Linked DNA regions of Callithrix jacchus. The protein of the gene in region 7 interacts with the protein of the main gene of each other region in a pairwise test. Links are inferred from orthologs where the notes say so. Each region holds a gene or a part of one and is shown on either strand. Other genes may lie near its edges. The genes, in order: RHEB, FA2H, DNAJC30, ACSF2, TMEM234, FMO3 and CREB3.

Region 1 (4,754 bases), on a different chromosome or scaffold from region 7:
ACTTTGGGAGGCCGAGGTGGGCAGATCACCTGAGGTCAGGCGTTTGAGACCAGCTTGGCCAACGTGGTGAAACCCCGTCTCTACCACAAATACAAAAATTAGCCGGGTGTAGTGGTGCACGCCTGTAATGCCAGCTACGTGGGATGCTGAGGCAGAGAATCACTTGAGCCCGGGATGCAGAGGTTGCAGAGCCGAGATCACGCCACTGCACTCCAGCCTGGGTGACAGAGCAGGACTCCATCTCAAAAAAAAAAAAAAAAATCAAATCAAACACAAGATTGGAAGCAACCTAACCTTTCCAAAATCGTTTAATCATGACTGCGCATGAAAATAAATATGGAGAAGTGGAGTAGGTTGCAGAAACAAGAAATACTAAAGACAGAAAATAGGGAATAAAAGTGCCCCTGTATCCCACCGGAGACCAAGTTAGCACTGTAGTTAGCACAAGCAGCATTTTAAAATAAATGTTTGTGAAGAGAAGGCTAAGGGGTGGCCTCTCATCTCAGCCCTCAGTAAGACGCTAATTAGAGGGAAGATAAAACAGAATGGATTTCAACTGGACACAAGGAACTTCTTTAGCAAAAAAAGTGATGAAACAGTAGACCTGCTCACTCAAGACTAAAGCTACCATTTCAACATTTTAAAAGGGCAAATCAAGATCTTTGGATCATTCTCTTGCATTGAAATCAGGTAGCCGCCACCATGCCCAGCTAATTTTTTGTATTTTTAGTAGAGACGGGGTTTCTCCATGTTGACTAAGATGGTCTCGATCTCTTGACCAGCTACTCAGGAGGCTGAGGCAGGAAAATTGCCTGAACCCAGGAGGCGGAGGTTGCGGTGAGCCGAGATCGCGCCATTGCACTCCAGCCTGGGTAACAAGAGCGAAACTCCGTCTCAAAAAAAAAAAAAATCAGGTAGCCGAGGTACTTGTGGCCTACACCGTGATTATCAAGGTCTACTATTTTCAAATACTTGGCAATAAATACTCGGAGGGCTCACCCACGAGCCAGGATACCTCGAGGTCCCAACTCCGCAAAATGCAGAGGAGGAAATCAAGAGTTCAGAGACAAGAGCATGGATCAGGCTGCCAATCAAGGTTGGATTCCAGGTTCCACATTGATATCTGAACAGTTAGTGACTTTGAACGCCTCCATTAGATTCGTGGTTACTTCTGGCTGCAGCGGTTAAAGCTGCCACACCTATTCATCCCTTTGGATTCAGGACTGCATCGCACAAGAGCTCCCCCCCGACCCACGACTCTAGGCATCCCGCATCTCTCAGGTAGAAGCCAAGCTTCTTTCAGCTCTTGATGCTCCCACCCCGCTACCCCCGACGGAGAGAGGTGGTAAAAGGATGAGTAAGCAGCAGAGGCCGATCTTGGTCAAAGAGCACAGCGCCTGGCAGCGGCCGTGGAAAGCGCAGCAGGGGAGTTCACCCAGTGAGCGGCAGGCAGGTACAAGGTTTCCACCGCAGTTATTGTCACCCCGTTCCGCAATCACCGGAGCCTCTGAACCCTCGCTTTCACCTCCCCATTCCCCCAACTGTGGCCCAGTGCACGTCTTCCATAGAGCTACTTCAAAACAGCACCAAAAGACGAACGTAATTCCTCCAGGCTTCCGGATGTCGGAGACAATACAGCCTCACCCTGAAGCCCGGCTAAGTTCAATCGCTCTGCTTTCTCATAGGACAGGAAACCGCTCGTTCTGTGGCATCCCGTCCGCCCCCGCAACCCGACCCTAGGCCACCGTATTCAGCAAGACCGCGGCTGCTAGGAACCGTTTCAAATGTGTATCAACCTTCCGGGGAAGAAAAAAAAAGAAAACAGAAAGACTCCAGAATGACTTCAGCAGCCTGGTTCTAAGTCCCTGACCTTATTCCTTCCCGAAGAAAAACAGGGCACCGAGAGATCAGACATTCCTTTTCCTCTGCCTGCCTGCCCCGGCCGCCAGTGGCATCTCCAGGGCCTCCAGAGCGGCCTCTTTTGGGGGCTCCCCTAGGTTTCTCAGGTAGAAACTTGCGTTCGGTGCCCAAATGTCCTCTAAGTCTCCAGTTTTCTCTCCAAGGGTAAACTTCACCACAGATGGAAGGAAGCCGAGGTGCTACTTCCTTTGTTAAAATCCCATGGACTTTCTTTTCTTTGCATCGGGGGCGGGGTGGGGGAGACCGCCAGCCCCGGTCACGCGCGCCCACGGCGAAGGCGGGGAGGCAGGTTTAAGTCCTTCCTCGCGGGAGCCTCCCGCGCGGCTCGCCGGCGCCACCTCCCTTCCCCAGACGAGCCCCACACTCGTCCGCGGCCCCCGCCCCGCGCCTCCCACGCCCTCCGCCCCGCAGCCACCTGCCTGCCCTGCCCGCGGAGGGCGCCCGGCTCCCGTAGGTCCTCGCCCCGCGCGGACGCCGCCCCGACCGCCACCACCTCCGCTCAAAATGGTGGTTACGAAACGCGCGGCCCCCGCCCGCCCCGCCACATGGCCGCGCCGGCTCCAAACTTCGCAGGCCCGGCCGCGACCCGGCGCCCAGGCGAGGCCCCAGCCCGGGCGGCGCGAGGAAGCCCCGCGGCCACCGGCCACTCACCCACAGACCGGTAGCCCAGGATCGCGATCTTCCGGGACTTGGACTGCGGCATCTTGGCGGCCTCCTCAGCCCCGGCCCAACCACATCAACCGCGGCGGCGGCGGCTCCTGATGCTGCGATCGGCGGCTGCCGCGCCGGGAAAGAGCGGCATACAGAGCAGGGGCGGCGGCGGGCGCGGCTGCCTCTCGCTCGCTCGCGCGCTCCCAACCGCCCGGAACCGACCGCGCGGCGGCGCCCCTCCCCCCACAACACGCCCACGTGACCGGCCCGCGTCAGCGGCGCCCCTTCGCGCGCCGCGGCCCGCCGCCTCCGCCCCCCGAAATACGCGGGGGGTGCGTCGGGGCGACGTTTTACTTTAAAGGGAAAAAAAGGGGACGCCGCGATGCCCCCGGAAAAGTCACGACTGAAACTCGCTGCGTCATGACCCTCCCATCTTCTTCCGCCGCTTTTTAATTACGCCATTCTCCCCGAGCGCCGATTGGGCGGCTCTTGCACAGCCGCGCGATGACGTGGCGGAAACTCCGTCTCCCATTGGGGAGGCGAAAAGGCGGGGCGGGAGAGGGTGGGGCTGCTCGCCCGGGTGCTAAAAATACAGCGCGCTGCTACCGCGGCTTTGGGCGCCTGCGAGGTTTGAAGGCTTCAAACTTTCAACCGGTTGGGTGCAAGCGGGAGAGGCGGAGAGACAAACGGTGGCTTCCTGATGATTGGCCGGGGCGGAGCGCAGGGCGGGGCAATAGGTGGGAGGCGTGGTGATTGGCGGAACGCTGAGCGGTTGTGGGGTTCGCGCCTGCTGAGCCCGTGAAGGGCGCGAGGCGCGTGGCCGGGGCGGGCTGTGGGTAGACTGGCTCCTCCCTCGGGGCTTTTTTTGAAAATTCCCCTTGTGCTGCGTTAGCGTTCGTGTCTGTGTTTGAGGATGTAGGTGGTGACTAAGCGTCACCCACGGCCGAAGGACTGTGGGAAGCATGGAGTCTGCGTTAATTCAAAGTGTTAGGAATTTCATTAAAAACAGGGCGAGCCTGTGGTTCTGGCGTCCGCTTCGCTTCGCGCGGAGCTCGACGCGCCTCCCGGAACAGCGCCAGGGCGGGAAGCCGGTTCTCCGCCAGCGCCGGGGCGGCTGGTGCGGCGGGCAGGCCCGAGCCGGGTTCCGGGAACACCTCTGGCCGCGGCGTGGGCACAGCCTTCCCAGGGGTGCGGGGCAGAGTGGCGTGGGAAGGGAGCCGGGCTGGGGACGCAGGTGCGGTTGAGGGATCAGCAGGCTGGCCGGCCAGGGGTGGTAGCTGCTGGTGGGTTTGGCGCTTGCCGAGTTAACAGAGGCTCCACCGCGCCCGGGAACCCGCTCCTGTTCTGCCCGGGCTGTTTGGCAGTGGGGACCTGCAGAGGCCGGGCAAGGCCCTTCGTCCTTTCCCAGCGAGCGGTGGGGAGGAATGAAGCCCGGGAAGCTGAGTGACAGGCCTTGGATTCCAGCGTACGAAGGTTTAGAGTGACTGGAGTCGAATTGGAACACCCAGCCCAAGGGCGACTCCCTCCAGCTTTCCCACGGAAGCACTCGGAGGACGGGCTGGGGTGTGCATTCGTGTTCTTGGGGATCTACAGATGATCCCCAGGCAGCCAGCCGGAAGTGATCAATGTCTAGAAGCTCTATGTTTTCATGAAATGTTGAGGTTTATGCTATATTTAACTATTTTAAAGCTAAGGGTCTTAAAATGCACTCTCCTGTAAAATGGTCATGTTTTTATCCTGTGGATCTGGATACCCTCACCACGGTATTTTTGAACAGATGCTACTAAACTTGCATTATAAAATCAGTTTAGTGTTCCTTAAAAAAAAAAAAATAGAAGAGAAAACTGCGTATGTCCTCATCAGTATAGCGGTGAGTTAAAAAAATGAGTAAGGCCAAGTATGTGTATGTGCGTGTGTGGATACATGTAGATCTGCTACATATGTTTGTGTATTGGGATTCATTGTAAGGTTTCTTGTCGTGGGTTGCCTCAAAAATTTTGAAAGCACTGCCCTGGTCTGAGAATGTTGGTAATACAGATGTGAAGCACAGTCATAAAGGACAAACTCATTCAAGAAGTTTTCCAATTGCTGTCTTAAAGTCCTTTAAAGTAAGATCCAAAGGTTTAGAAGATTCCTTTATTCCAGAGTGGGGAGAATGTGTTTGGTTTAAGAAAGGACTCAGC
Region 2 (3,970 bases), on a different chromosome or scaffold from region 7:
CGGGGCAGAGGTTCTGAAAAGGCTTCACAAATGGGGAAGGAATGTAGCAGCAGATGCAGCGAGCTCTGGAGAGCAGAGGCCAGGTGAGGCTGGAGGACACAGAGCAGGCCTGGGCTGCACTGCCTCTGAGAGCATACCTGAGGGACGGGTTGGCCCAGGACTGGGCACCCACCCTGATACTGGCCCCTAGAAAAGCCCCCAAGGATGCAGATCAACTCTGAGGAGAGCTGGGAGGGCGACACCCAACCAACCTGAGAACTTTCCTAGGTGGCTGATTAAACCCTGAATCGGCTCATTGAGATGAACTAGATTAAGTTGCTGCTGGGAAACTGATGTGAAACCCACGTTCAGCATGAGCAGCATAAGGGTCTAAACCGGTATCCTGAAAGCACCATATCTGCCACATTTTCTCTGATTTACAGCCAGCAGAGAATGGAGTGTGAAGACCGGCTGGGGAACAGCACAGTGCAGGGTCAGAGAGGCCGTGAGGGGCATAGTGGAGGCAGCTTCCCCTGGACAGACCTATCTTCTAGGGCCAGCTTCTGGGACTGTCGTGGAGTCCTTGAAGGGCTTCAGGGGAAAGGGTGATTGAGAGCGCAGACTCTGGAATCCCCAGAATGGGGCAGGACATCCTAACTGCGCCAGGTGTGATGTGGGGCAAGCTCCTTAGCTCCCCAAGGCCTCAGTCTCCTGCTCTGTGGAACAGGGAGAATCCTGGCACTGTTTTCAGGAGAAGCTCCATGAGGGCAAGGCTTTTTGTTGTTTTATTCAATGATGTCTAGAACAGTGTCTCACACACGGAAGGAACTCACTGGGCATTTGCTGAATGAATGAACAAATGAATGAGTTGTTTCGAGGATTAAAGGTGATGGATAAACAGGGGTGCAGAGGGCTGTGGGTCAGCATGACTCTGCACATCCACTCTGTGCCCGCCTGGCTCAGGTTCGGATGCTTGATCCAGTTGCCCCTGTGATTCATGTCAAAAGTTTTGTCACTCCCAACCCACAGCCAGACTCCCAGGAGGCTCCGCAGCACCTGAAGCTGGTTCCGGCTGCCGGACCAGCCGGTTTGGGCTGCACTTGCTGGGTCCAGGCTGGGACCCTGCCCCGCTCACCTTGTGGTGCTGGCCGTGCATGACGAAGTGCAGCGTGATGAGGTAATAGCTGTCGCTGGGGGGCTTCATGTGGAACAGGAAGCGGTGGATGCAGTACTCGATGAGGCTCCAGAGGAAGATCCCCAGCATGAAGAGCCCAGGGAACATGGACTTGGGCACCGCCACTGCATGCTCTGCAGGGTGGCAGGGAGAGCGAGGTGAGGACTGGGGCACAGCAGCCAGGTAGCTCTAGGCGTCCACGCCTTGCCACCTCAATCAGCTTGGGAACTGCTGCCCTCTGTCCCACAGCTATGGGGCGAGGCCACATTGCTGGGGCCCTGGGGTCAAAATGGGAAGGAGGCTGCGGGGCTCTGAACTAGGTCTTGGGGGTCATTTACGGGAGTGATGGACCACTGACTGGAGGCCTCCTTACAGAGGCTGTGGGAGGAATGGCTATGACCGGGGCTGGACCTTTACCTGCAAGGGTGACCTTGCCCCAAGGACATCGGAGAAGAGAAGGTGACATTCCTGAGCCAGGGCATTGTTATTATTTTGAGACAACATATCTCTCTGTCACCCAAGTTGAAAGATTGGAGTGCTGGAGTGCAGAGGTGTGATTACAGCTCACTGTAGCCTCCCCATTCTGGGCTCAAGTGATCCTTTCACCTCAGCCTCTCAAGTAGCTGGGACCACGGGTGCACGCCACCACACCCAGCTAATTTTTAATTTTTTTTGTAGAGATGAGATCTTGCTATGTTGCCCAGGCTGGTCTCAAACTCCTGGACTCAAGCAATTATCTCGCCTTGGCCTCCCAAAGTGCTGCAATTACAGATGTGAGCCACTGCACCCGGCCTCCAGGGTGTTAATGATGGAAAGTGAAACACCAGGGACTGTGGGGCAGGAAGGACAAGAGAAAACAAGCACTGAGATCTCAACAGACAAGACCTGAAATCATAGCTCAGGAGGAATATGTGAAAACTCTGAAGATGACCGGCCTGGGTGGAGAGGGAAGACTGGAGAGGGCGCCATCTGCAAGCACAAGCTTCCCACTGCCCAGCCCTCTGGAGACAGCCTGCAGTCCTTGCCGCTTTCAGTTCTTCCCTTCACTTCATTCATTCTTTGACCTTGTGGAGATTTCAGCTCTTGCTCCTGTTTTCTCCATATTCACCCTCATCCATTTTTTTTTTTTTTTAGACAATCTTGCTTTGTCGCCTAGGCTGGAGTGCATGGCACGTAATCTTGACTCACTGCAACCTCCACCTCCTGGGTTCAAATGATTCTCCTGCTTCAGCCTCCTGAGTAGCTGGGACTACAGGTGCCCACCACAATGCCTGGCTAATTTTTATATTTTTAGTAGAGATGGGGTTTCACCATGATGCCCAGGCTGGTCTTGAACTCCTGACCTCAAGTGAGGCTGGCCTTCCAAAGCGCTGGGATAGCAGGCGTGAGCCACTGCGCCCAGCCTAGCCATTCTCTTTTAACCCGTATTCCATCTCCCACACCTGCTCCCATGAACTCTCCCCCTGGGTCATCATGGGAATCTGCCTCTGCACCCCATCCCCAAGCTGCTGAGCATGGAGAGTCACACAGTGGGTCTAGCATCTTTGACCTTTGCAAGACCCTAGACACAGCCCGAAAGGTGATCCCTGAGCATCTTCAGGTTCAGCTCCCTCCTCGCTGCGCTTGGACCTTCTCTGCTCCCCTTCACCTCCTTTCCTTCCACCCAGCCTCCTACTTCACAGAGAAGAGAGGCCCTGGGGTTGGCGGGGAGCTATCCCCTCCACATACTCCCGGCAACTTGCTTCTCAGGGAAGAGGTGTGCACCGGCACACAGGTGCTGGATGATCAGAGAAACAGCAACAGCACATGTGTCCTGACCGATTCCTGTGCACCAGGTGCCGCCCAAGGGCTTTCCATGGATGACTTCCTTTCATCTCACCACAGCCTTACAGGGAAGCCCTGGCATTGCCTGCATGAGTGAGGATGTGGACAAAGTCCATGACTTGCCAGGCTCCCCCTGCTTGGCAGTGCAAACCCTCAGCAGCCTCCTCCTACCCTCCCTCCCAAGGGATTCCTCTGGCCTCCTTTAGTCTCTCCTCTCCTGGCTCTTCTGCTCATCTTTCTGAGGTAGGCAAGACTTTCCCATCATGGACTCAGCTTCTTCATCATCAAGATTCCTAAAAAGCTAGGCTAGGCTGAATGTGGTGGCTTACACCTGTAATCCCAGCACTTTGGGAGGCTGAAGTGGGAGGATCGCTTGAGCCCAGGAGTTGGAGGCCAGTCTGGGCAATACAGTGAGTTCCCACCTCATCAAAAAGTAAGAAAATTAGCAGGGCGTGGTGGCCCATGGCTTTAGTCCCAGCTACTCAGGAGGCTGAGGCAGGGGGATCACTTGAGCCCAGTAATTGAAGCCTGCAGTGAGCTGTGATTGCACCACTGCACTCCAGCCTGGATGACAGAGCAAGACCCTCCTGTCTCAAAGAGCTAAAAAGAAAACAAGAAAAAAAAGTGAGGCTGGACTCATGGCTCCACTTTGTCACTTTCCATTGGCTTGTCAAGTTCTTAAAATCTGTATCCTGGCCGGGTGTGGTGGCTCATGCCTGTAATCCCAGCACTTTGGGAGGTCAAGGTGGGCGGATCACGAGGTCAGGAGTTCAAGACCAGCCTGAATAACAATAACATGGTGAAACTCCATCTCTGCTAAAAATACAAAAACTAGCTGGGCGGTGGTGTGCGCCTGTAACCCCAGCTACTCAGGAGGCTGAGGCAGGAGAGTCACTTGAACCCAGGAGGTAGAGATTGTAGTGAGCCGAGATAGCGCCACTGCACTCCAGCCTGGGCGACAGAGTGAGACTCTGTCTCAAAAAAAAAAAAAAA
Region 3 (4,526 bases), on a different chromosome or scaffold from region 7:
TAGGGAGGCTGAGGCAGGAGAATCACTTGAACCTGGGAGACGGAGGTTTGCAGCGAGCTGATATCTTGCCACTGCACTCGAAGTGGCGAAGAATGAGAGACCCCGTTTTAATTTAAAAAATAAAATAGGCCGGGTGCTGCGGCTCACGCCTACAATCCCAGTACTTTGGGAGGCCGCGGCGGGCGGATTCACCTGAGGTCAGGAGTTTGAGACCAGCCTGACCAACATGGAGAAATCCTGTCTCTACTAAAAATACAAAAATAGCCGGGCATGATGGCGTGTGCCTGTTATCTCAGCTACTCAGGAGGCTGAAGCAGGAGAATCGCTTGAACCTGGGGGGTGGAGGTCGCGGTGAGCCGAGATCTTGCCATTGCACTCCAGCCTGGGTAACAAGAGCCAAACTCCATCTCAAAAAATCATAGGAAGCAGCCACGAGTGGCGGCGGGCGCCTGTGGTCCCAGCTACTGGGGAGGCTGGGGGGGGGCCACCGACACCCGACTAATTTGTTTTTTGCGGAGATGGGGTGGGGGGGGGGTCTTGCTGCGTTGCCCAGCCTGGTCTCAAACCCCAGCGGAAGCAATCCTCCCGGGAGGCCTCACCCTCCCAAAGCCCTGGGACTGCTGGGATTACAGGCGTGGGCCATCCCACCTGACCTCAAGTCTGTAGTTGCACAAACCACCCTCTAGGAAATTCAGACAGTACCACACCGACGGCCGTCGTGGAGACTTACTGGCAAACAAGGCGCCGGGATAAGCACCCTACGGACATTACTTCCTTCCCCCCCACTAGGACTGACCCCTCGCCAGGACCCACCGCCCACATGCTTAGGACAAGCTGTTACACACTCGACTTTGAAAACCACCCACGGAAAGCAGGCGCGATCCCCTCTACCTCAACACTGAGGCACCGAGGCCCAGAGACGTCGGTAATTTAAAGGTGATTTACCAAAGACCGAAATGGCACCCACCCGGGTCCTTCCTTCCCCGCACCCCCAAATTCTACGGGCTTTCCGAGCAACGCCCGCAACCCGGGCAACTTGCCGCTTCCCGACCCCCGGACGCCGCGCAGTACTCCGGGGCTCCCCTCACTTGGAAACGTATTTCCGGGCTTCTTTCTTGTCATAAAACTGGGAAAAAGAGAAAAAGAAATGGCAGGTGGAGAAGGAATTCAGACGCCGCGGCCGTAGAAATGGGGAGACGGGTGCCCGCTGACCCCAGAACTTACCAGCTCCGGGGGGCCGCCGTGCTCCGGACGCTGGCCACCAGACGCCATCCTCACTCCTCAGCGGCACGCCTGCAACTGGCGTTTCCCGGAGCGAGCGCGGCTTTTATGTCATCAGCCGGCGCCCGCCTAATAATACGCATGCGCCACCCCCTCTTTCGCCCTCCTCTTTACCTGATTGGCTACAGGGCGACCAACCGGCGCCTCCCATTGGCCAGTTTCTCTTGCCCCGCCTGCCGAATCAATTCAAGATGGCAGCCAAGTGTGGGTTGTTGTTTCCACGACTGTTAACGTGGAGGTTGCTACAGGCCCGTGGCTTTCCACAACGTTCTGCACCCGGCCCGGGCCTAGGAGCGAGGCTTTATTCCCGGGGCGACTCTTCGTACTCGCGCACAGCGCTATATGATCTCCTTGGCGTCCCCTCCACAGCCACGCAGGCCCAAATCAAGGCGGCTTACTACCGTCAGTGCTTTCTCTACCACCCGGACCGCAACTCCGGCAACGCCAAGGCTGCCGAGCGCTTCACCCGCATCTCCGAGGCCTACGTGGTTCTGGGCAGTGCCACCCTCCGTCGCAAGTATGATCGCGGCCTGCTCAGCGACGAGGACCTGCGCGGACCCGGCGTCCGGCCCTCCAGGACGCCCGCAGCCGACTCCGGCTCGCCGCGTCCCCCGCCGCCCACCTCTCGGACCCACAGCGGTTCTTGGACCGCCCCCGACGCCAACCGCACGAAGTTCAACTTTGACGCCTTCTACCAGGCCCACTACGGGGAACAGCTGGAGCGGGAACGGCGCCTGAGGGCCCGGCGGGAGGCTCTTCGCAAGCGACGGGAATCTCTGGCCCTGACCAGCCGTCCCTGGGAGGACATCCGAGACACGGGTGTCGTTTTCTTCCTCTTCGGAATCTTCATCACCATTGTCATCGTTGGCTTTTATATTTAGCGGGAGAGAGGAAGGAAGGGGAGCGTCCCCAGCCAGCCCCCAGAAAACGGCCTTTTTTCCTGCCCCAGAATTCTTGGCCATTGATAGCCTACCTCAGCTGGGATCCGAAGGAACTGTGCTCCCCCTCCCCTCCCGGACCCACCCAACATAGCCGATGACCTGCACATCCCTTCCCTATGGTCCAGAAAAGGAGGCCTCATATGCCTGAGAAAGAGGCCCCACGCTAAAGAGTCCCGAGAGCTCACGAGTGAGGGGTCCCTGGAGTCTCCAGGGTGCTTCTTCCAGAAGTTGCCTTCCTGCTTCCAGATGTGGCTAACTTCTGTAACACTCGCTGTAGCTTGATTGTAAAGCCTCGGGCAGGATTTATCTGCTCCTGCCCCGCGTGTGTACGGTGGGGCTCCTCTGTAACCTTGAAATGTGCAATGTGACCATTTGTTGGCTGCCAAAAGAAAAGGTCTGGGGTTGTACCAAACTTGTCTTTCTGTGAGTTCCCCAAGCGGCAGGTGAGACCTGGTCCAGGGTAAGAATGGGGTCTGTGGACAGCCTGCCATTCCTCCCTCTAAAGTCAGCCCCCTGGGGCACTCCCCTTTCTGTTGATAGCATGTGGGAGTGAGGAAACAAGGTCACTGAGCATAAGGAATGTGTGTTCCTGGGCCCATATTAATGTGTGACCTTGGAGAAGTTACTCTGTGAGCCTGACAGCAGAGGAGAGAATCATTTGACATTGTTTTGTTTGTTTTTGTTTTTCAGAAGGGGTCTCGCTCTGTTGCCCCGGATGGAGTGCGGTGGTGCAATCTCGGCTCACTGCAACCTCTGCCTCCTGGGTTCAAGCTATTCTCCTGCCTCAGCCTCCTGAGTAGCTGGGATTACAGGTGCCTGCCAACATATCGAGCTAGTTTTTGGATTTTTAGTAGAGAGGGGATTTCACCATGTTGGCTAGGATGGTCTTCAACTCCTGACCTCAGGCAATCTGCCCGCTTCAGCTTCCCAAAGTGCTGGGATTTCGGGTGTGAGCCACCTTGCCTAGCCTATTATCCATTGTTCTAATCTGTGGGGATTATAGCATGATGCTAGCAGGGCCGCCTTCATCCTTGGGACAGTGTGGCTGTCCCCTGGCCCTCCTTTTACCAGCCAACCCCATTGCACACTGTGCAGCCCAGCCCCTCCCAGAAATGGAATGCCAGACTCCGTGCTTGAGTCTCCTGCTGCTGTTTAACTTGCAGTGCTTATCACAGGCCCTGCGTGAACCTTTGAAACAAGGCTGCTTGATGCTGGGGTAAACTTTGGGACTTTGGGAGTAGACAGGACTACGGAGGGATGGGGGCCTTGCTGTTCAAGGTGGCGACTTGGTTCTTTATGCAGAGCTGACTAAAGGCGTGGTTTCTTTCCCCTCTGTTTCATGTTAACTAGTTGCTCATCGTTTGGTCAGAGCTGCTGCTGAGCGCTCTGAACTGTGAGTCACTGGACATTGGCAGTGAGCTGGCGGTGAGATTGTAGGTGCTCGAGTGTTTACGCACAGGACTGAGTGTAAATCTGTAAAAAGGGAAAATCCTCGCAAGAGGTCTACGAGATGGATGAGGGCCCAAGTCTAGGGTCTAAACAAAGCCAGGAGTGGTTTGATGTACTACTGAGGGCCATAATTGCGTGCAATCCCTGTACTCAATGTGTTGTGTAAAATCCTTATGTAAAATGGGATAAACCCACAGCTGGTCCTGCTTAGCCTCTTGAAAACCATTCCATTATTCTATCCTGAAAAGAAAAAAAAAAAAAAAAAAATATATATATATATATATATATTTGATTGTCTCTTGCCTTGGAGAGTGGGGGTATACTCCTAGTCAGGGCTTTGCAGTGACCATATGATTCAGTAATGAAGATCTGGGGCCTGGCACAGTGGCTCACGCCTGTCATCTAAACACTGGGAGGCTGAGGCAGATGAATCGCTTGACCTCAGAAGTAGGGAGACCAGCCTGGGCAACACGGCAAAACCCCACCTCTACAAAAATTAGCCAGGTGCGGTGGCAAATGCTAGGTGTGGTAGTTAGTCCCAGCTACTCGGGAGGCTAAGGTGGGAAGATGGCTTGAGCCTGGGAGGCTGAGGTTGCAGTGAGGTGCCATCCCGCTGCTGCATTCCAGCCTGGGCAACAAAAAAAAAGAAAACAAAGAGATTTGAGCCCGGTCTGGTTCAGACTTGTCTGGTTCAGTCAGCCTGGACTTGGGGGGAGGGGAGGTGTACTTTTTAAAAGAACATTTAATGTTACTATGTTTCATATTTGGAAAACAGGACAGAGTCTTTTCTGGAAAAACAAACTGCTGGAAGTGGAGTGTAGCAAAATGTTCTGAAGGGGGGCAAGGGCGTTTTGT
Region 4 (4,590 bases), on a different chromosome or scaffold from region 7:
AATTTGTGATATAAACAACAAGGTACAGCGAATCAATAGCTTATGTCATTTTAATGTACATTCTTGGTAAGTCACTTAGGAACCACCTCTTATTTTCTTTTAAAAACCCATTTGTAACTGCTGCTCATCAGAGCGTACATTCAGGGCAACTCGAGTCAATGTTCCTGGGTTGCAGTCCTCAAAGTTGTCCCAAATGAACTCTCTACTTAAATAACTTTTGCCTCGGTTTTTTCCCTTAGGTCTACAGTCTCATATGATCATAGCCATTGCCATGGAGGGTGTCGGAGGGAAACCCCGCGAGTGCTGAGGCAAGGATCTGAAGCCTCAGCCTGTTCCCATATGAATACTGAATTAGAAAATAATTAGAAATATAAGCACACAGTTATTACTATAATAATCATATATAATAATTTAGTTATTCACATATACTCATAAAGATATATATATACTCAATATAACCTTTTACTGCAACTTCTGCCACCCAGGTTCAAGCAATTATCCTGTCTCAGCCTCCAAAGTAGCTGGGATTACAGGCATGTGCCACCATGCCCAGCTAATTTTGTATTTTTAGTAGAGATGGGATTTCACCATGTTGGCCAGGCTGGTCTTGAACTCCTGACCTCAAGTGATTCACCTGCCTCAGCCTCCCAAAGTGCTAGGATTCCAGGCATGAGTCACCACACTCAGCCTTTATTTCTTCTTCTTATTTATTTATATTTGAGATGGAGTTTCTCTCTGTCACCCAGGCTGGAGTGCAGTGGTGCTGTCCTAGCTCACTGCAACCTCCACCTCCCAGGTTTGAGCAATTCTCCTGCCACAGCGACTCTAGTAGCTGGGATTACAGGCACATGCCATCATGCCTCGCTGATTTTTGTATTTTTAGTAGAGATGAGGTTTCACCATGTTGACCAAACTGGTCTCCTGACTTCAAGTGATTTACCCAACTGGGCCTCCCAAAGCGCTGGGATTACAGGCATTAACCACCCACTCAGCCTTTATTCTTATTTTTTGAATCTAGGTTTTGCTCTGCCACCTAGGCTAGAGTGCAGTGGCATGATCATGGCCCAATGCAGCCTTGAACTCCTGGGCTCAGGTGATCCCACTGCCTCTTCCTTCCAAAGTGCTGAGATTACAGGCTTGAACCAGTATGTCTGGCCTGAGCCCCGAGGCTTCTGAAGGGGAAAGTAGGAGAGAAATCAGGTAAAACCACCACAGCCAAAAAGGGCACAAGCACAAGGGAGTGGGAGAAATGGCAAGCAGTTAGGCCAAACACTCAGAAAATCATCTCTCTGGTTAAATGGGTCTTCTCTTGACACAGCAATAAGAATTTCTTTGAAGCTTGGTGCTCTCAGAGGTCAAAGGCCTGCATCAGGTAAGTGACCTATTTTGTTTATAGACAAAAAAGTCAAAGGTCGGAAATGTTGCCAGGTGGCAGGACTTAGTATTTATTTATTTGTTTGTTCTGTATTGGGCAGACTCCTGAGCTAGAGTAGGCTGACAGCCTCCCCTGTGGCCTGATTTGGTAGGATAAAATATGTACACTTTGGGGAGTAACTTTCCTTAGAGTCCTCCCAGCCTGAGAGCAGGCACCCACGAGTCCAGGGGAGAGGATTAGCGACTTGGGGGTCAGGGGAGGGCTGAACTTGCCTAGGGAGACCCTAGGAAGTGGTGAGTGACTTCCCAGGGTCACTGGGAAGAGGACCACATTGTCTTCCTCTCAATCCCATCTACTGAGCAGCCTTCCTCCACTTAGTTTCCTGGCAAATTAGGCAGAGTGATTGCATGCTTTCCAGCATTCAGGAACCAGCAAGTTCAAAACGTGTGATCTTGGGTTCCAGTCCAAGAAGACTCTGTGTGTCCCTCCAACTCCTCCCACTTAGCCTTTTCCCAAACAAAACCAAATCTAGTTCTCTGAGACCCAGATTTGTTCCGGCTTCCTCTCCCTTTTCCATGTCCGGGTCCACACCCCATCTGATGTTGACAGTGGTGTCCTGACCACAGACTTAGTATCTGGCCAAGCTGGGCGGTAGGACAGGCTCAGCAGTGCACACGGCTCCCCGATGGTGGTGCTGACGCTAACAGCGCTGATAGCATAGGTGGGTGGCGGCCTGCTCTCTGTTACTCATGCACTTTCACATTTGCAATTTCACGGGGTCCTCCCAGGGACTGGCCACACCGGGAAGGCAGCTTTACTTACTGTGCTGCTGAAGAGGCAGCGAAGCTGCTGGGAACTCACATCCTGTATCTGCAGCTTCCATCCCACCCCTCGCACTGAGGACAGACGAAAATAGGCCCAGGAATAGGTAGCAAAGAATGAAAGCTATGTTAGTCCGCAGCTGATAAGGAGAGAGGAGACTGCTAAGTTTAGCGGCCTGGGTCGGGGAGACTGGGGCTGATCCCCAAGTTTGCCCATGAAGGGAGAAGTTTGCCCAGAACTCGGAGGCAGTGTCCTGAGGGTACAGCCCAGGCCTTGGCCCTTGCTCCTCCCCATCGGAATAGTCTCCTGAAAGCCCACACTCCTTGCCCTCTGTGCCCATAAAGGAGAGAATCGAGAGTCTTGGACCAGAACTCCAAGTCCCTGCAGCCACCAACTGAAGCCCCAGTCCACTAGGCCAAGCCAGCTTTTCCTATTGCCTAGGTGCTGGTGGGGGGCGAGGGAGGGGTGGGTACCTACCCCCCATTGCAGAGGTCCAGAGATGGGGCTTCCTAAGCTCGGCGGGACCCCCAAATTCCTCTCCCAGAGAACCGCCCCGCCCCCTCTCTTCCCGGGGGCCCCGTACCTGAGGGAGCGGACACCCTGCAACCTCGCTTCCTGCCAACTCCGAAAGAGGGCAGCCCGGGCTCCCAACACCCCGGGGCTCCCGGCGCACAGTCTCCCCAGGCTCAGCATCCCGACGTAAACAGCCACTGCTCACTTCGCCCTGCGTCCCGCGAGTTAACTTTTTAAAGTAAGCCGAGGCGGGGCGGGCGCGGAGCAGGCAGGGAGGCGGGGAGGGTGGCCTCTGCCTATGGGGTGCGGCGAACTCGGTCCGGGAGGGTGGAGCGTGGCGCGGCGCGGCGGTGGAGTCTTAGCGCAGGGCCACCTTCCCCTTGAACCCCGCGGCCCTCCCCCTCCCACCCTCGAAGAATGGCCCTGGTTTCCTCTGGATCTGAAGGCCCCAGCTGCAGCCTGAGACAGATCTTCCTCGCAACCATCCTCAGGGGCCTGGACTTTAGAGGCGCAAAAGTTTGTTGATTTCCTAGAGGGAGAGCCAGCCGCACATCCGTGCGGGGCCAGAGGCTGAGGCAGGAGAATTGCCTGAACCCAGGAGGCGGAGGTTGCGGTGAGCCGAGATAGCGCCATTGCACTACAGCCCGGGTAACAAGAGCGAAACTCCGTCTCAAAAAAAAAAAAAAAAAAGACCTGTCCATCCCCTACCACTTTAGCTCTCGGGTCAGGTGCTGGCCCGCTACTTGCGAGCCAGAGGCCAAAGGAGCAGGCGCGAAGCGCCCTTGAGGCATGCCAACTGGAGCACAGGGCCCGCTGGGGTGGGGAGGCAGCTGCGACAAAGGGTGTCGACTGTGAGCCGCCACCGGGCCTGCTGGTGCCGGAGTTCCAGCGGAGGCCAGATTTCAGCTTCAGAAGGGACACCAGTTGGTACCCCATCTCACACGAGGCATCCTCCCCTCCCCCCTGGGCGCCTCTGCCTTGACCCTCTGCACGGGGTTGGGGCCGGTGCACTGTAAGGTGGCCTCAGGGACTGGGACCTGTGTATTTCATCCCCCATCTGCCTGTCTTGGGACCTGTGGCACAGTTCCCTGTGCTACCCCCGGTGTGAATAGAAAGCAACACTGTGCCCCTCCTTGGGGTTCCTGAGGCCCAGGGGTAGGTGGGGTACTAAGACCTGGGCAGAGCTGCAGGACAGAGAAGGTGATAGTCCAGCTCTGATCCAGGCTAGGAAAGGTGGCACTGGGCACCAAAGAGCAGCACAGTGTATACGTGTTCCAGGTCTGCATTGCCCCACGTAGCCATGATCTTTCCTCTAGGGAAGGAGCTGGAGAAGAACAAGGGAAGGGCCCTGGCAGGGTGACCTCCTCTCTCCTGATGGAAGGAGATAAAGTAAACCTTACAGGGCAGAAGGGGTGGCTGGGGGTGGATCCTGCCTTGACAGAACCTTTGCCCTTGTCTGGGAACTCTGGCTCCATTTCAGTCATGAGAAGTTCACTCTGAGCCTCTTTATAATCTTGAGCGTGACCTCAAATCCCCCCTGGAGCCCAGCTCCTAGGGAGGGTCCCCACATTTCAGTTTCTGTGGGGTTGGGGCAGGAAGAGACAGAGGAACAAAGAGATCACACGAGGCTGGGCCTACAAGGACGTGCCTTCCTAGTTAGACTGTCTCTGATAGCGGACCAGGTAATAGGGAGTGCTGGGGAATTCACAGGTCTGGAGTCCCAGCCCTGGCTGGCAGGCTCAGCCTCTAGCTTGCTGGGTGACCCTGGGTAAAGAGTTGCCCCTCTATGGGCCTATGAAGTGAGGGGTAGGTTCTGATCTTGTAGGTTTGTCCACTCTTCTGGCTAGTTTGAGGGTCAGTCCTACAGCAGGAGACAAGTG
Region 5 (3,970 bases), on a different chromosome or scaffold from region 7:
ATTCTCTGGCCAGAGAAAGTAGCTGGCTGAGCCTGGAAGAGGCCACAAACGTGGGAGCAGGTTTGTCACAATAAAATAGTAATGTATTAACCTCTGTCTACCACAGATTTATTGACAGCTACTACTCTCCAGGTGTTGTGCTGGGTGCTGGAGTTAGGTGGCGCTGGGGCTCACAGCTGCTACCTGTTTAAGAGAGGCTGGCAGTGAGGATTTCTGTCCACCTCATGGGTGGGGCAGGCAAGGCTAATAGCTCATCTCCTGCATCTGCCACTCTGAGGCACCTTCCTCCCCTCAGTTCCACCCCTCAGTCAGCCAAGGCGCTCTGACTGAGCCCTGGAGGCCTCCTGTTTGCTTTCTGGCTTGGTCTGTAGCTGGCCTTTTCCATGCAGCTGGGGTTCTGCAGTCCATGGAAACTGCCACCATGATAGTCCAGATTAGGCCACATAATGGTGGCTTAACTGGGGGCCTGAGATGACAGCAGGAAGAGAGATGCTGGGGCAGAAAGGTTGCTGAGGGTGAAGCGTCGAGTCTCCTGTGCTAAATCCCAGTAGGTGAACAGCACTTGAAGGTTATAAAACCCTTTCACTCTTGTTCTCTTATTGTGATCCATGAGGTAACTGTTATCCCCATAAGAGGAGGAAGCTGAGGCCAGAGATGGGAGGTGCTAGGTCCATCTGCTCACTGCCAGCACTTCATGGCCCAGGGGCTTCCAGGAGGCAGCAGAGCTGGAAATGGGTTCGGCCCACTCAAAGGGTAGACGGTTGCCCCTGGGTCTTACTCACTGAGCTTGTGATGCAGAGTGAAATTCCTGTCACGGTGAGCACCATGCCAGCGACTGCTCCTGGGATAATGGACAGAAATCAAGGGGTTCTGAGCTCAGCCATGCCAATAAGAGCTGGTACAGGGCTGTAAGAAGGGCTCAGATGGGGTCTGGTCCTGGGTCCCACCCCAGCCTCTGTCCCCAGACTGTCCAGGGGAAGGGAACTCTGATGGCCACAAGGAAGCAGGACAGCTGCAGAGGAAAAGGCAGGATGGGAAGAGGCCCTGTCCTCACCCATTCCAGGGAGATGGGTTCTGGGAAGGAACACAGGTATGTTGAGGCCCAGATAGCTGCATCCCACATTCGCAGTAGCCTGACTTACGTTTTCCACCAATATCTTCTCCAAGGGCCTTCCCAACAATCAGTGTGAAGATGATGGCCAGAGAATTACAGATGGGTACAGCTAGGGTCAGATCTGGGTGGTCAGAATGAAAAGAATCCCTGAGATGCAACAAATGCTTTTTTTTTTGAGATGGAGTTTTGCTGTTGTTACCCAGGCTGGAGTGCAATGGCGCCATCTCGGCTCACTGCAACCTCGGTCTCCTGGGTTCAAGCAATTCTCCTGCCTCAGCCTCTGGAGTAGCTGGGACTACAGGCGTGCACCACCATGCCCAGCTAATTTTTGTATTTTTAGTAGAGATGGGGTTTCACCTTGTTGACCAGGATAGTCTCGATCTCTTGACCTTGTGATCCACCCGCCTCGGCCTCCCAAAGTGCTGGGATTATAGGCGTGAGCCACCGTGCCCAGCCAAGAAATGCCTTTCTAAACACAAGACACTTCCCATCATCATCATTTCATATATTTAAAGAAGGTATTATAACCCCATCTTCCAGATGAAGTCACAGCACATTTCAGGATTCAGACCCAAATATTCTGACTCCATGTTCAGTGGTTCCCCAGGATTCCAGCATTCCCCAGGATTCCTGAACTCTGAGGTCTGATACCAGCCTGGTTTGATAATGAGAATGAGGTCTTTGCACTCAAAAAGAACTTGTGAAATTTCAAGGACATCTGGACACGTAGGCAGGCACCCAAATCCCAAAGGATGCAGTAGAGAGTCAAGTAACACCAAGCACAGTCACCATCTATTTTTTTCTTTTCTTTGAGACAGAGTCTTGCTCTGTCACCCAGGCTGGACTGCAGTGGTGTGATCTTGGCTCACTACAGCCTCTGTCTCCTGGATTCAAGGGATTCTCATGCCTCAGACTCCTGAGTAACTGGGATACAGGTGCCTGCCACCATGTCGTGCTAATTTTTCCATTTTTAGTAGAGATAGGGTTTCGCCATGTTGGACAGGCTAGTCTCAAACTCCTGACCTGAGGCGATCCGCCCACCTCAGCCTCCCAAAATGCTGGGATTACAGGTGTGAGCCCCAACACCTGGCCATGTAGCCACCATTTATTAAGCATATACCATGGCCTAGGTGCTCTTTGTACATATTTCAATTTTCATAACACTGCAAGGAAGGGATTATCACCATTTTGCATAAAGGAAACTAAGGCAAGTTGAGGATTTAAACTGAGGTTTGTCTGACTCCAAGGTCTGCACTCTTATTGAATTAAATGGATATGGACAAAGCAGAACATCAGCTGAAGCACATTTTGTTTGTTTCAGCCCAAGCTCAGGCTTTATGGAGTTAAAAATAAAAGAAAGTGTCAGAAGAAAGAAGCCTGGTACCTGTTCAGGACATTGGGCTGGACCTATGGTGTGGATAGAGGGTATCATAGCTCAGGATCTGTTCTTTAATTTTGAAGTTCCAGGGGGCTGACTGCCAATAAGCAAACTTGAAAAAGAGTAATGGAGTTGGCTGGGTGTGGTGGCTCATGCCTGTTAATCTCAGCACTTTGGGAGGTGGAGGTGGGAGGACTGCTTGAGGTCAGGAATTCCAGACCAGCCTGGCCAACATGCTAAAACCCCATCTCTACTAAAAATACAAAAAACTATGAAGGAACAAAGCAGGCACCAAAAAAAAAAAAAAAAAAAAGAAAAAAAATACAAACATTAGCCAGACTTGCTGGCACATAATCCCAGCTACTTGGGAGGCTAAGGCATGAGAAGTGCTTGGATTCAGGAGAAGGAGGTTGCAGTGAGTCGACATCAAGCCACTGCACTGCAGCCTAGGCGACAGGGCCAGACTCCATCAAAAAAAAAAAAAAAAGAGGGGAGAAAAGAAAAAGACTAATGGAGTTAACTTAAAATTTGTTGAGGGTAGATCTCCTGTTAAGTGTCCTTATCACATTAAAAAAAGAGCCACATACATATAAAAAAAGACCAACAGACAAATCAGCTGAGTTATCCATGGTAACAAGACTCAACTGCAGACCAGATGCTCACACTGGCTCCTCAGCACCCTCTTTCCCAGCACTCCCAGGCCTTGCCTTTGTGAGGCAGAGAAGGGAACTGTCCTGCTCCTCATCCCCTGGGAGACCCCGGCATAGAGGCATTACCCATCTAAGAAATTGATATAACAACCCCACCTACAAAGAGTTGTTTTTGTTGTTGTTGTTTTTCATTTTTGTTGTTTTTGAGACAGGGTCTCACTCTGTTATTCAGGCTGGAAGTGCAGTGGTGAGGTCACTGTTCACTGCAGCCTCAACCTCCTGAGCTCAAGTGATCCTCCCACCTCAGCCTCCTGAGCAGCTGGGACTACAGGCACAGACGACCAAGCTCGGGTAATTTTTGTATTTTTGTTGTTGTTACTTAGGCTGGGCTCCTAGGCTCAGGTTATCTGCCCACCTGAGCCTCCCAAAGTGCTGGAATTACAGGCCTGAGCCACTGTGCCTTGCCCAGAGCTGCCTTCTTAAGTTTACATACCTTACAAGGAGTGTCATGGCTGTTAAGGTCTGGTTTGCAGCAGTAGATGAGGGAAGGAAGCAGCATGGTGCAATGGGAGAGTGAGGGCATCAGAGTGAGGCAGATCTGAGTTTCCCTTGTAATCTTGGTTAGGATATTCAAACACTTACCTTGTTTCCCCACATGTAAAATAGTGATCGCAGTATACCATTTCTTTTGTTGGGTTGTTGTAAGATGAACTGTGATAATGCATGGATAGTCCCTGGCTAAAGTGGATGCTTCATAAATAGTGACTATTATTCTGGTTATTAGAAAGGATGGATATTCAAGGATATAGGCAGAGAGGGTGATGAAAT
Region 6 (4,443 bases), on a different chromosome or scaffold from region 7:
AACAATAATCTAGCCATCGAGGGATGAAAGCATCTTTGTTTTGTGATTCAGAGGGGACAATAGAGAATGTCCACTCCCCCAACCAGAGCTTGGGCATTTGAGACTCTGAAGATTTACAAAGGGGCTCTGCAGAAAGCTCTGGCAATCAAAGGATAGGCTGAAAGGAGACAGGGCTAATGAATGTGTCTACTACAGATAAAATATATTCCAGCGAAGAACAGGCAGCCTTTTCACCTCCTAGAGAGATGAAACATCAGAGGCCAAGGAGGAATTGGGTGTGTCCCGCCTGTCCTTAAATTAATAAGGCTATAGGAATAGTATTGCTTCATAAAGTATTCACAATCTTTTCTTTGCATTATTTTAATGCTATTTGTGTAGCGTTAAAAACTGTAAAGGAGTTCCATGTAAAATGAGAGCAGAGAAAATCATGTCATCTGAATTGTAGCCCTAGAAAATTTCATGAATCTATGACTTGTTTTTAATTTTTTCTACAAGTTATATTTGCTCATTTTTAACTACATGCCACATTTTATATGTACATATGTATAAATGTATTTATATGTATATATCCTTTAATTTTCTAATCCTTGTTAAAAAAAAATATAGCCAGACAGAGGCTAATAGTGTAGTTATCCCCATTTTTATTAATGAGTAAACCAAGAATTGGAAAGGTTAAGTGACTTGCCCAAAGCCACAGAGCTTTACAAGTGATTTGAAATCTCTCATACACACACTTTAGAGATGAAGATTACTGTCTTCAAAAGGCATAAAGGGTAATTCCTCAAAATCAGACATATACCAGTTTATGCTAAGTATCACCTCCTTAATGAAAGGGTTAACTAGATAAAATGAATGACATGTCATAATTCTAAGTGACATAGAAATATAGTTGATAGGAGAACAATTTTTTGCAATTTCACTATATGTCATGACTGAGAGTTAGGTGCAATCTATTTTGTTTTACTGCCAATATGACTTTTTCCCTGACCACACACTTTCCTCAGAAACATATAAATACAAGCTTGAGAAATACAGGCCTTTGACCCCAAAATTCCAAATGCAGAACTTAAAAAGAGAGAGCAGAGAAAGTCATCCTCCCTACTGGGCTATCTCAATTAAGTAGGTAAGTTTCTACAATATTTGGAGGGCTAATATGAGGTACCCACAAAATAACTAGAAATAAGGACAACAAGGTAAACTTTGAAATAACACATGATGAAATGGAAGAGAGAACCGCTTGGGAGAAATTCCTTGACTCCGAGGGCAAGGGTCCAAGTGTATAAACAGCAGCTTGTGTTTACTATAACCAAAGGAAAAGCAGAAACTGGGTGACCATGGGAGACTGGCCTAGAGTCCCACCCACCACAGAGAGTTGGTGCTCACCCATTTGAGGACCAAGAAATGACTATCTCTTTAAGAGCAGCTCCTCCCATTTTCCAACAATCTTCCTAATGTGTGGGCTCACTAGAGCATTTTCTCTTTCAAACTGCCCAGACAGTTGGACAGGACATAGACATACAGAAGAAAAGAAGACAAAGAACGGGTAGGAAAATAAAAAAGGTGGGAGGCCGATGTGGGTGGATCATCCGAAGTCAGGAGTAGGAGACCAGCTTGGCCAACATGGTGAAACCCAGTCTCTACTAAAAATACAAAAATTAGCCAGGCATGGTAATGTGTGCCTGTAATTCCAGGTACTTGGGAGGCTGAGGCAGGAGAATCACTGGAACCTGGGAGGCAGAGGTTGCAGTGAGCCGAGGTGGCACCATTGCATTCCAGCCTAGACAACAAAAGCAGAACTCCATCTTAAGAAAAGAAAAGGAGAAAAGAAGAGAGAGAAAGGAAGGGAGGAAGGGAGGAAGGGAGGGAGGGAGGGAGGGTGATATAGTAAAGGGCTGAGGATGAGATGGGTAAATGAAGGAGGAAAATGCTGTAGTTTTATATGGAACGTAGCTAGAATAAGAGTGACATAATTCAGGCAGTTTGTTTATCTGGGAATCATGGATCATGATTTTTATCATCCAAGTCTATTTCTTTGCATAGCTATGTGATTTTGTCTACAAAGGAAAAAAAAGTGAGAGAAGTAGTAGTAGAACCTAAAGACAGTGTCAGGAACAGAAAAAGTTAGGAAATGTAATTTTCTTAGAGGAGAAAGGAGGTTGAAGGTAGCGGGAAAAGATTATTTTTAGGTAAGAACTTGACTTTCTTTTTTCACTGGGATAAGATCTTACTCTGTCACCTAGGCTAGAGTGCAGTGGCACAACTATAGCTCACCACAGCCTCAAACTTTTGGGCTCAAGCGATATTCCTGCCTCAACAGGAATATATAGCTCCAGAGTAGCTGGGACTACTACTGGTCGGGAGAACTCCTAAATTCAAGTGATCCTCCCGCCTTAGCCTCCTGAATAGCTGGGACTACAGGCACACTGAAATACAGACATCTTCAGATCTTGTTCCTCATTATCTTTATCAAAATAGAAAGAAGGTACAGAATGTATGTGTGTGTGTACAAATATACATACATATAGATTTGTTTCTTCATTCCCATATACATGCATATGTATATGGGTGGTGGGTGGATGTGTCTACATGTGTTTTAGTTGTGAATCTTCTTTTATTTCTTCTGCTTACTCATTTTTGTAGACAGTAAATTACCAAGTCCAAAAGCAAAAAGGATAAATATGTACGCTGTGCCATCAGTCTCTTAATTTTGGAAAGCTGATGACTAAAAACAAAGTGCTTATTTTTTTCAGAAGAAAACTTTCTCTTTAGAAATTAGAGATAAATGAAAATGTAGTTAGATTACTAAAGGAGTTTGTTTTTTAGAGATAAGTTCTTACTCTGTCACCCTGGCTGGAGTGCAGTGGTAAAATCATGGCTCACTGTAGCTTGGAACTCCTAAACTCAAGTGATCCTCCTGCCTTAGCCTCCTGAGTGGCTGGGACTACAGGCATATGCCACCACACCCAGCTGACTGATTTTTTTTTTTGTAGAGACAGGGTCTTACTCTGTTGTTCAGGTTGGTCTCAAATTCCTGGGCTCAAGTGATCCTCCCGTTTCAGCCTCCCAAAATGCCAGGATTACAGGCGTGAACTATCATACTCAGCTGGTGTTTCTTAAAAAGTAAAGTTTTATTAGGCCTAAGAGTGAAATCAAAATAAATAGATAAATAGGTAATAAATTTTCAGTCATGTTGTTGCTGGAATTTTTCTCTGGGCCTTTGCACAGGTGACCATGGGGAAGAAAGTGGCCATCATTGGAGCTGGCGTGAGTGGCTTGGCCTCCATCAGAAGCTGTCTGGAGGAAGGACTGGAGCCCACCTGCTTTGAGAAGAGCAATGACATTGGGGGCCTGTGGAAATTTTCAGTGAGTAGCATGTTGTTGTAATAAACAGGGGAATAGGTTGGGAAGTATATAAGAACACGCTGTGTGCACACGTTTCCAAACCTGCTGCCATGGCAATTATCATATCTGTTAGAATTGGAATCCACTAAGCACAGTGTTAAGAGCAGGTTGGAAAGTGACCTCCTTGCAAGTCAGAAGTAAATTACATAATGGGCTTTGAAATTCTCTGTTACACCTATGCAACAATTCTGCATGATCGGCACATGTACCCGTGTACCCCAGAACCTAAAGTACAATAAAAAATATATATTAAAAAATAATAATAAAATAAATAAAAACCAACAATTCAAAAGAAAAAAAAAGGAATTCTCTGTTACAGAATTCTCCCTTGGTAGATCATTAGTAAGAGCCACTTGGACATAAAATTCATGGTAAATATTAGTTAGGTTTATAATTAAATTATAATTAAATGATTTACTCATTTAAAACACAATAATTTTTCACATTTTTTTTCAGATTTAGGGGGTACAAGTGCAGTTTTATTACATGGATATAATGTGTAGCAGTGAAGTCTAGGCTTTTTGTTTTCCTACCACCCAAATAATGTACACTGTACCCATTAAGTAATTTCTCATACCTCAACCCCCTCCGACTCTCCCACCATTTCAAGTCTCCAATGTCTATTATTCCCACACTCTATGTCAATGTGTATACATGATATAGCTCCCAATCATAAGGGAGAGAACATGTGGTATTTGACTTTCTGTTTCTGAGTTATTTCACTTAAGATAATGGCCTCCATTTCCATCCATGTTGCTGCAGAAGACATAATTTCATTCTGTATTATAGCTGGGTAGTATTCCATGGTGTGTGCATATATACATATGTGTCTCTGTGTGTGTGTGTGTATATATATGTATGTATGTATATACCATATTTTCTTTATTCAGTCATCCTTGTTGGACAAGGTTGATTTCATTTCTTTGCTATTGTGAATACTGCTGTGATAAACATATGAATGCAGGAATCTTTTTTATATATCAACTTCTTTTCCTTTGGGTAGATAACTAGCAGCAGCATTATTGGGTCAAATGGTAGTGC
Region 7 (2,496 bases):
GTCTGGGTGGGTGTGGTCTATGGGCTAGCAGCTACCATGATCCAAGAGGTAATGTACTCCCTTTCCCATCTCTCCACCATCTATATCCTGGCCCAGAAAACTTCCTCAGCCACCACATTTCTTCAAGATATAACCCAATGCCATCTTATCCATCCATAAAGCCTCCCATTTTTCCCTGGTATGCATTCCAGCTCCTGCCTTCAGGCTTCTGTCTGTGGGTCATAGTTATTTCCCCCACTTGCTGGGAGCTCCCTGAAGGCAAAGACTCTACTGTCTCCATCTATCTAGTGGAAGTGGCTATTCAGAGGATGCCAAGTTAGTATGTATAACTGTCATCTCTCCCAACAGGGCCTGACTTGGGAGGGCTTCCAGACAGCTGAAGGCTGCTACCGTACCGTGTGGGAGCGCCTGGGTCTGGCCTTCCAGACACCAGAGGCATACTGCCAGCAGCGAGTGTTCCGCTCACTGGCCTACATGCGGCCACTGAGCATCTGGGCCATGCAGCTAGCCCTGCAACAGCAGCAGCACAAAAAGGCCTCCAGGCCAAAAGTCAAACAGGACACAGGACTAAGGACAGGGCCTATGTTTGGACCAAAGGAGGCCATGCAAACCTGAGCCCAGAGTGAGCCCTCTGAACTGTGGGAGGGAAGCACTAACATCCCAGCCTCCAGCCTGGCCTTTCCTCCTTCCCTTCTGAACCTCCTGCAGCCCTGAGCCATCAGGACAATCATACCCTTTCCCTTCTCCCCACCCAACTGTGCCAGTAAATGGGGGTTGGGGGTAACCCAGGCAGCATTGGAATCACTTATTTATTTATTTCCTCACCCCTTCCCTCACTGTGTGAAATGTTCAGCGAGGTCAGTTGATTTCCCCAGGTACATTCATGGGGTGACAGACACATGGCTACAAATAATAAAAGACCCAGAAAGCCAGTAAATGTGGTGTATTTGAGCCCTCAGTCTTTCTGACAGGGCACAGAATCTGCAGCCAGCCCTCGCCCACCCATTTTTATTCAGACACAGATGGGGAGCCCACCAAGCTCTTGCTGAGACCCCTCCACATATCCTTGTATCTAGCCTGAGTATCTGTCCTGCAGGATGACAGAGGGGCTATAGGTAGAAAGCCTTACCCCCTTTCTTGTGAGATTTGCCTGCAGAAGGAGGATGGGATCTCGGCAGAGAGGCTCTGAGAAGAGGTCAGGGAATAGCCACTCCAGGGGACGCTCTGCCCTGAGAGCCTGAGACATGTAGTGTAGCAGGCAGGAAGAGTTGCCAGGGACCTGGAGTACATGGTCTGAGCCGTCCAGCCACTGGTGTGTGCTGTCTTTCAGCACCTCTGACTGCAGGGTAGACAGCTCCAGCTGGTAAGGGTCCTCACTGGGGAGGGCACGAAGCTGGCGGAACAACACTGAGGAGACAAAGGAGACAATCTTCAGAGGCCAACCCAGGCTCTCCCCTTGCCCATGCCTGAGAGCTATCCTTAAGCCTCTTACCTCCATGCTCAGCTGGCAGGCTCTCTCTTGTGTCAGAGGAGTACATAGCAGGTACAAGGAGGAGGCAGAAGGAGAATAGCAGGACCTAGAGCACAGGAAAAAGGAGATGAAGAAGGGCTCTGGACTGCACTGCTGTCCCTACCAACTAAGCAAAGGATTTCTCCCCTCATCACCATCCTCACCAAGACACAGGTGCTGCTGCTACTGGTTTTGTTTGATATCGCAATCACCATGGCCTGGAGTTTCCTCAGTTGATCTAGAAGGGACCTAGAGGAAAAGGGGGGCCAGTGGTGAGCATCCTCTGGCCTGGCACCCTAAGACACAATGAAATTCCTATTCAGGACACCTCCATCTCTGCACTGGATCCTCTCTCTTATTTTCATTCTATTTTTGCAAATGACTTCTTCCTCTCTGTGGACAAAGTGCCTGAAGTTCCTCGTTAAAACAAAACAAACAACAAAAAACAAAAAAACTTCTCTGCCCTGACTTAACCTCCTTTGCAAATATCATCAGTAGTTCCCCATTGTCTGATCAGCTATGCATATAATCCTCACCAGGCATTCTCTGTGTTCTCTACTTTCTGGCCCAGCTCACCTGTGTTAAGAGTTCTAGCCCAAGAGGACTATGTTGTATTCTCTCTGCCTAGAATGCTTTCCCATGGATTCCCAACTCCAGAATCCTAACTACTATCAAAGTCCATGAGGTCTTTCTTACCCTCTTTCTCTTTCTTGGTACTTATTCTTAGTTACTTATAAATGTATTCCCCCCTACTGTATTCTTAGTTACTTGTAAATGTATTCCCCACTACTATGAGCTTCTTGGAATCAGAGACCTAGTGAAGGCCAGGCACCAGACCTAGCATTTGAGAGCTGCCCAGTTAGAAATCAAGTGTAAGGCAAGGGAAAAAAAGTGAGAAGGCATTAAATGAGGGGCACAAGAAGGCAGTGGTTTGGAGGGAATCTTACAAATTCTGTTCCTCCAGAAGCTGTACTTTGTTCTGAAGC

Evidence for each region.
Region 1: the proteins of CREB3 (region 7) and RHEB interact in a two-hybrid assay, tested with the Homo sapiens proteins (2 studies listed by BioGRID and IntAct). The two-hybrid records come from large-scale screens. The link is inferred for Callithrix jacchus from reciprocal best matches to the Homo sapiens genes CREB3 and RHEB.
Region 2: the proteins of CREB3 (region 7) and FA2H interact in a two-hybrid assay, tested with the Homo sapiens proteins (2 studies listed by BioGRID and IntAct). The two-hybrid records come from large-scale screens. The link is inferred for Callithrix jacchus from reciprocal best matches to the Homo sapiens genes CREB3 and FA2H.
Region 3: the proteins of CREB3 (region 7) and DNAJC30 interact in a two-hybrid assay, tested with the Homo sapiens proteins (2 studies listed by BioGRID and IntAct). The two-hybrid records come from large-scale screens. The link is inferred for Callithrix jacchus from reciprocal best matches to the Homo sapiens genes CREB3 and DNAJC30.
Region 4: the proteins of CREB3 (region 7) and ACSF2 interact in a two-hybrid assay, tested with the Homo sapiens proteins (2 studies listed by BioGRID and IntAct). The two-hybrid records come from large-scale screens. The link is inferred for Callithrix jacchus from reciprocal best matches to the Homo sapiens genes CREB3 and ACSF2.
Region 5: the proteins of CREB3 (region 7) and TMEM234 interact in a two-hybrid assay, tested with the Homo sapiens proteins (2 studies listed by BioGRID and IntAct). The two-hybrid records come from large-scale screens. The link is inferred for Callithrix jacchus from reciprocal best matches to the Homo sapiens genes CREB3 and TMEM234.
Region 6: the proteins of CREB3 (region 7) and FMO3 interact in binary tests that used the Homo sapiens proteins (3 or more experiments, as listed by UniProt). The two-hybrid records come from large-scale screens. The link is inferred for Callithrix jacchus from reciprocal best matches to the Homo sapiens genes CREB3 and FMO3.

What each region holds. Positions count from the first base shown.
Region 1 is NC_133512.1:96,706,524-96,711,277, reverse strand, and holds the start of RHEB (GTP-binding protein Rheb), read right to left. Parts: upstream 2,977-4,754; 5' UTR 2,624-2,976; coding exon 2,572-2,623; intron 1-2,571. UniProt on the Homo sapiens protein: Small GTPase that acts as an allosteric activator of the canonical mTORC1 complex, an evolutionarily conserved central nutrient sensor that stimulates anabolic reactions and macromolecule biosynthesis to promote cellular biomass generation and growth.
Region 2 is NC_133521.1:32,054,238-32,058,207, forward strand, and holds part of FA2H (fatty acid 2-hydroxylase), read right to left. Parts: intron 1,288-3,970; coding exon 1,115-1,287; intron 1-1,114. UniProt on the Homo sapiens protein: Catalyzes the hydroxylation of free fatty acids at the C-2 position to produce 2-hydroxy fatty acids, which are building blocks of sphingolipids and glycosphingolipids common in neural tissue and epidermis.
Region 3 is NC_133503.1:10,005,474-10,009,999, forward strand, and holds DNAJC30 (dnaJ homolog subfamily C member 30, mitochondrial), read left to right. Parts: upstream 1-1,464; 5' UTR 1,465-1,472; coding exon 1,473-2,162; 3' UTR 2,163-3,881; downstream 3,882-4,526. Other genes in the region: BUD23 (18S rRNA (guanine-N(7))-methyltransferase), read right to left, coding at 1,089-1,126, 1,225-1,272. UniProt on the Homo sapiens protein: Mitochondrial protein enriched in neurons that acts as a regulator of mitochondrial respiration. Associates with the ATP synthase complex and facilitates ATP synthesis.
Region 4 is NC_133506.1:115,912,306-115,916,895, forward strand, and holds the start of ACSF2 (medium-chain acyl-CoA ligase ACSF2, mitochondrial), read right to left. Parts: upstream 2,919-4,590; 5' UTR 2,891-2,918; coding exon 2,781-2,890; intron 2,272-2,780; exon of another isoform or gene 2,198-2,271; intron 1-2,197. UniProt on the Homo sapiens protein: Acyl-CoA synthases catalyze the initial reaction in fatty acid metabolism, by forming a thioester with CoA. Has some preference toward medium-chain substrates. Plays a role in adipocyte differentiation.
Region 5 is NC_133508.1:68,824,128-68,828,097, forward strand, and holds part of TMEM234 (transmembrane protein 234), read right to left. Parts: intron 1,236-3,970; coding exon 1,143-1,235; intron 842-1,142; coding exon 783-841; coding exon of another isoform or gene 747-782; exon of another isoform or gene 184-746; coding exon of another isoform or gene 154-183; exon of another isoform or gene 68-153; intron 1-67.
Region 6 is NC_133519.1:31,532,331-31,536,773, reverse strand, and holds the start of FMO3 (flavin-containing monooxygenase 3), read left to right. Parts: upstream 1-1,476; 5' UTR 1,477-1,543; intron 1,544-3,225; 5' UTR 3,226-3,231; coding exon 3,232-3,363; intron 3,364-4,443. UniProt on the Homo sapiens protein: Essential hepatic enzyme that catalyzes the oxygenation of a wide variety of nitrogen- and sulfur-containing compounds including drugs as well as dietary compounds.
Region 7 is NC_133502.1:142,640,965-142,643,460, reverse strand, and holds the end of CREB3 (cyclic AMP-responsive element-binding protein 3), read right to left. Parts: coding exon 2,458-2,496; intron 1,760-2,457; coding exon 1,675-1,759; intron 1,578-1,674; coding exon 1,493-1,577; intron 1,408-1,492; coding exon 1,073-1,407; 3' UTR 929-1,072; downstream 1-928. Other genes in the region: GBA2 (non-lysosomal glucosylceramidase), read left to right, coding at 1-48, 349-615. UniProt on the Homo sapiens protein: Endoplasmic reticulum (ER)-bound sequence-specific transcription factor that directly binds DNA and activates transcription. Plays a role in the unfolded protein response (UPR), promoting cell survival versus ER stress-induced apoptotic cell death.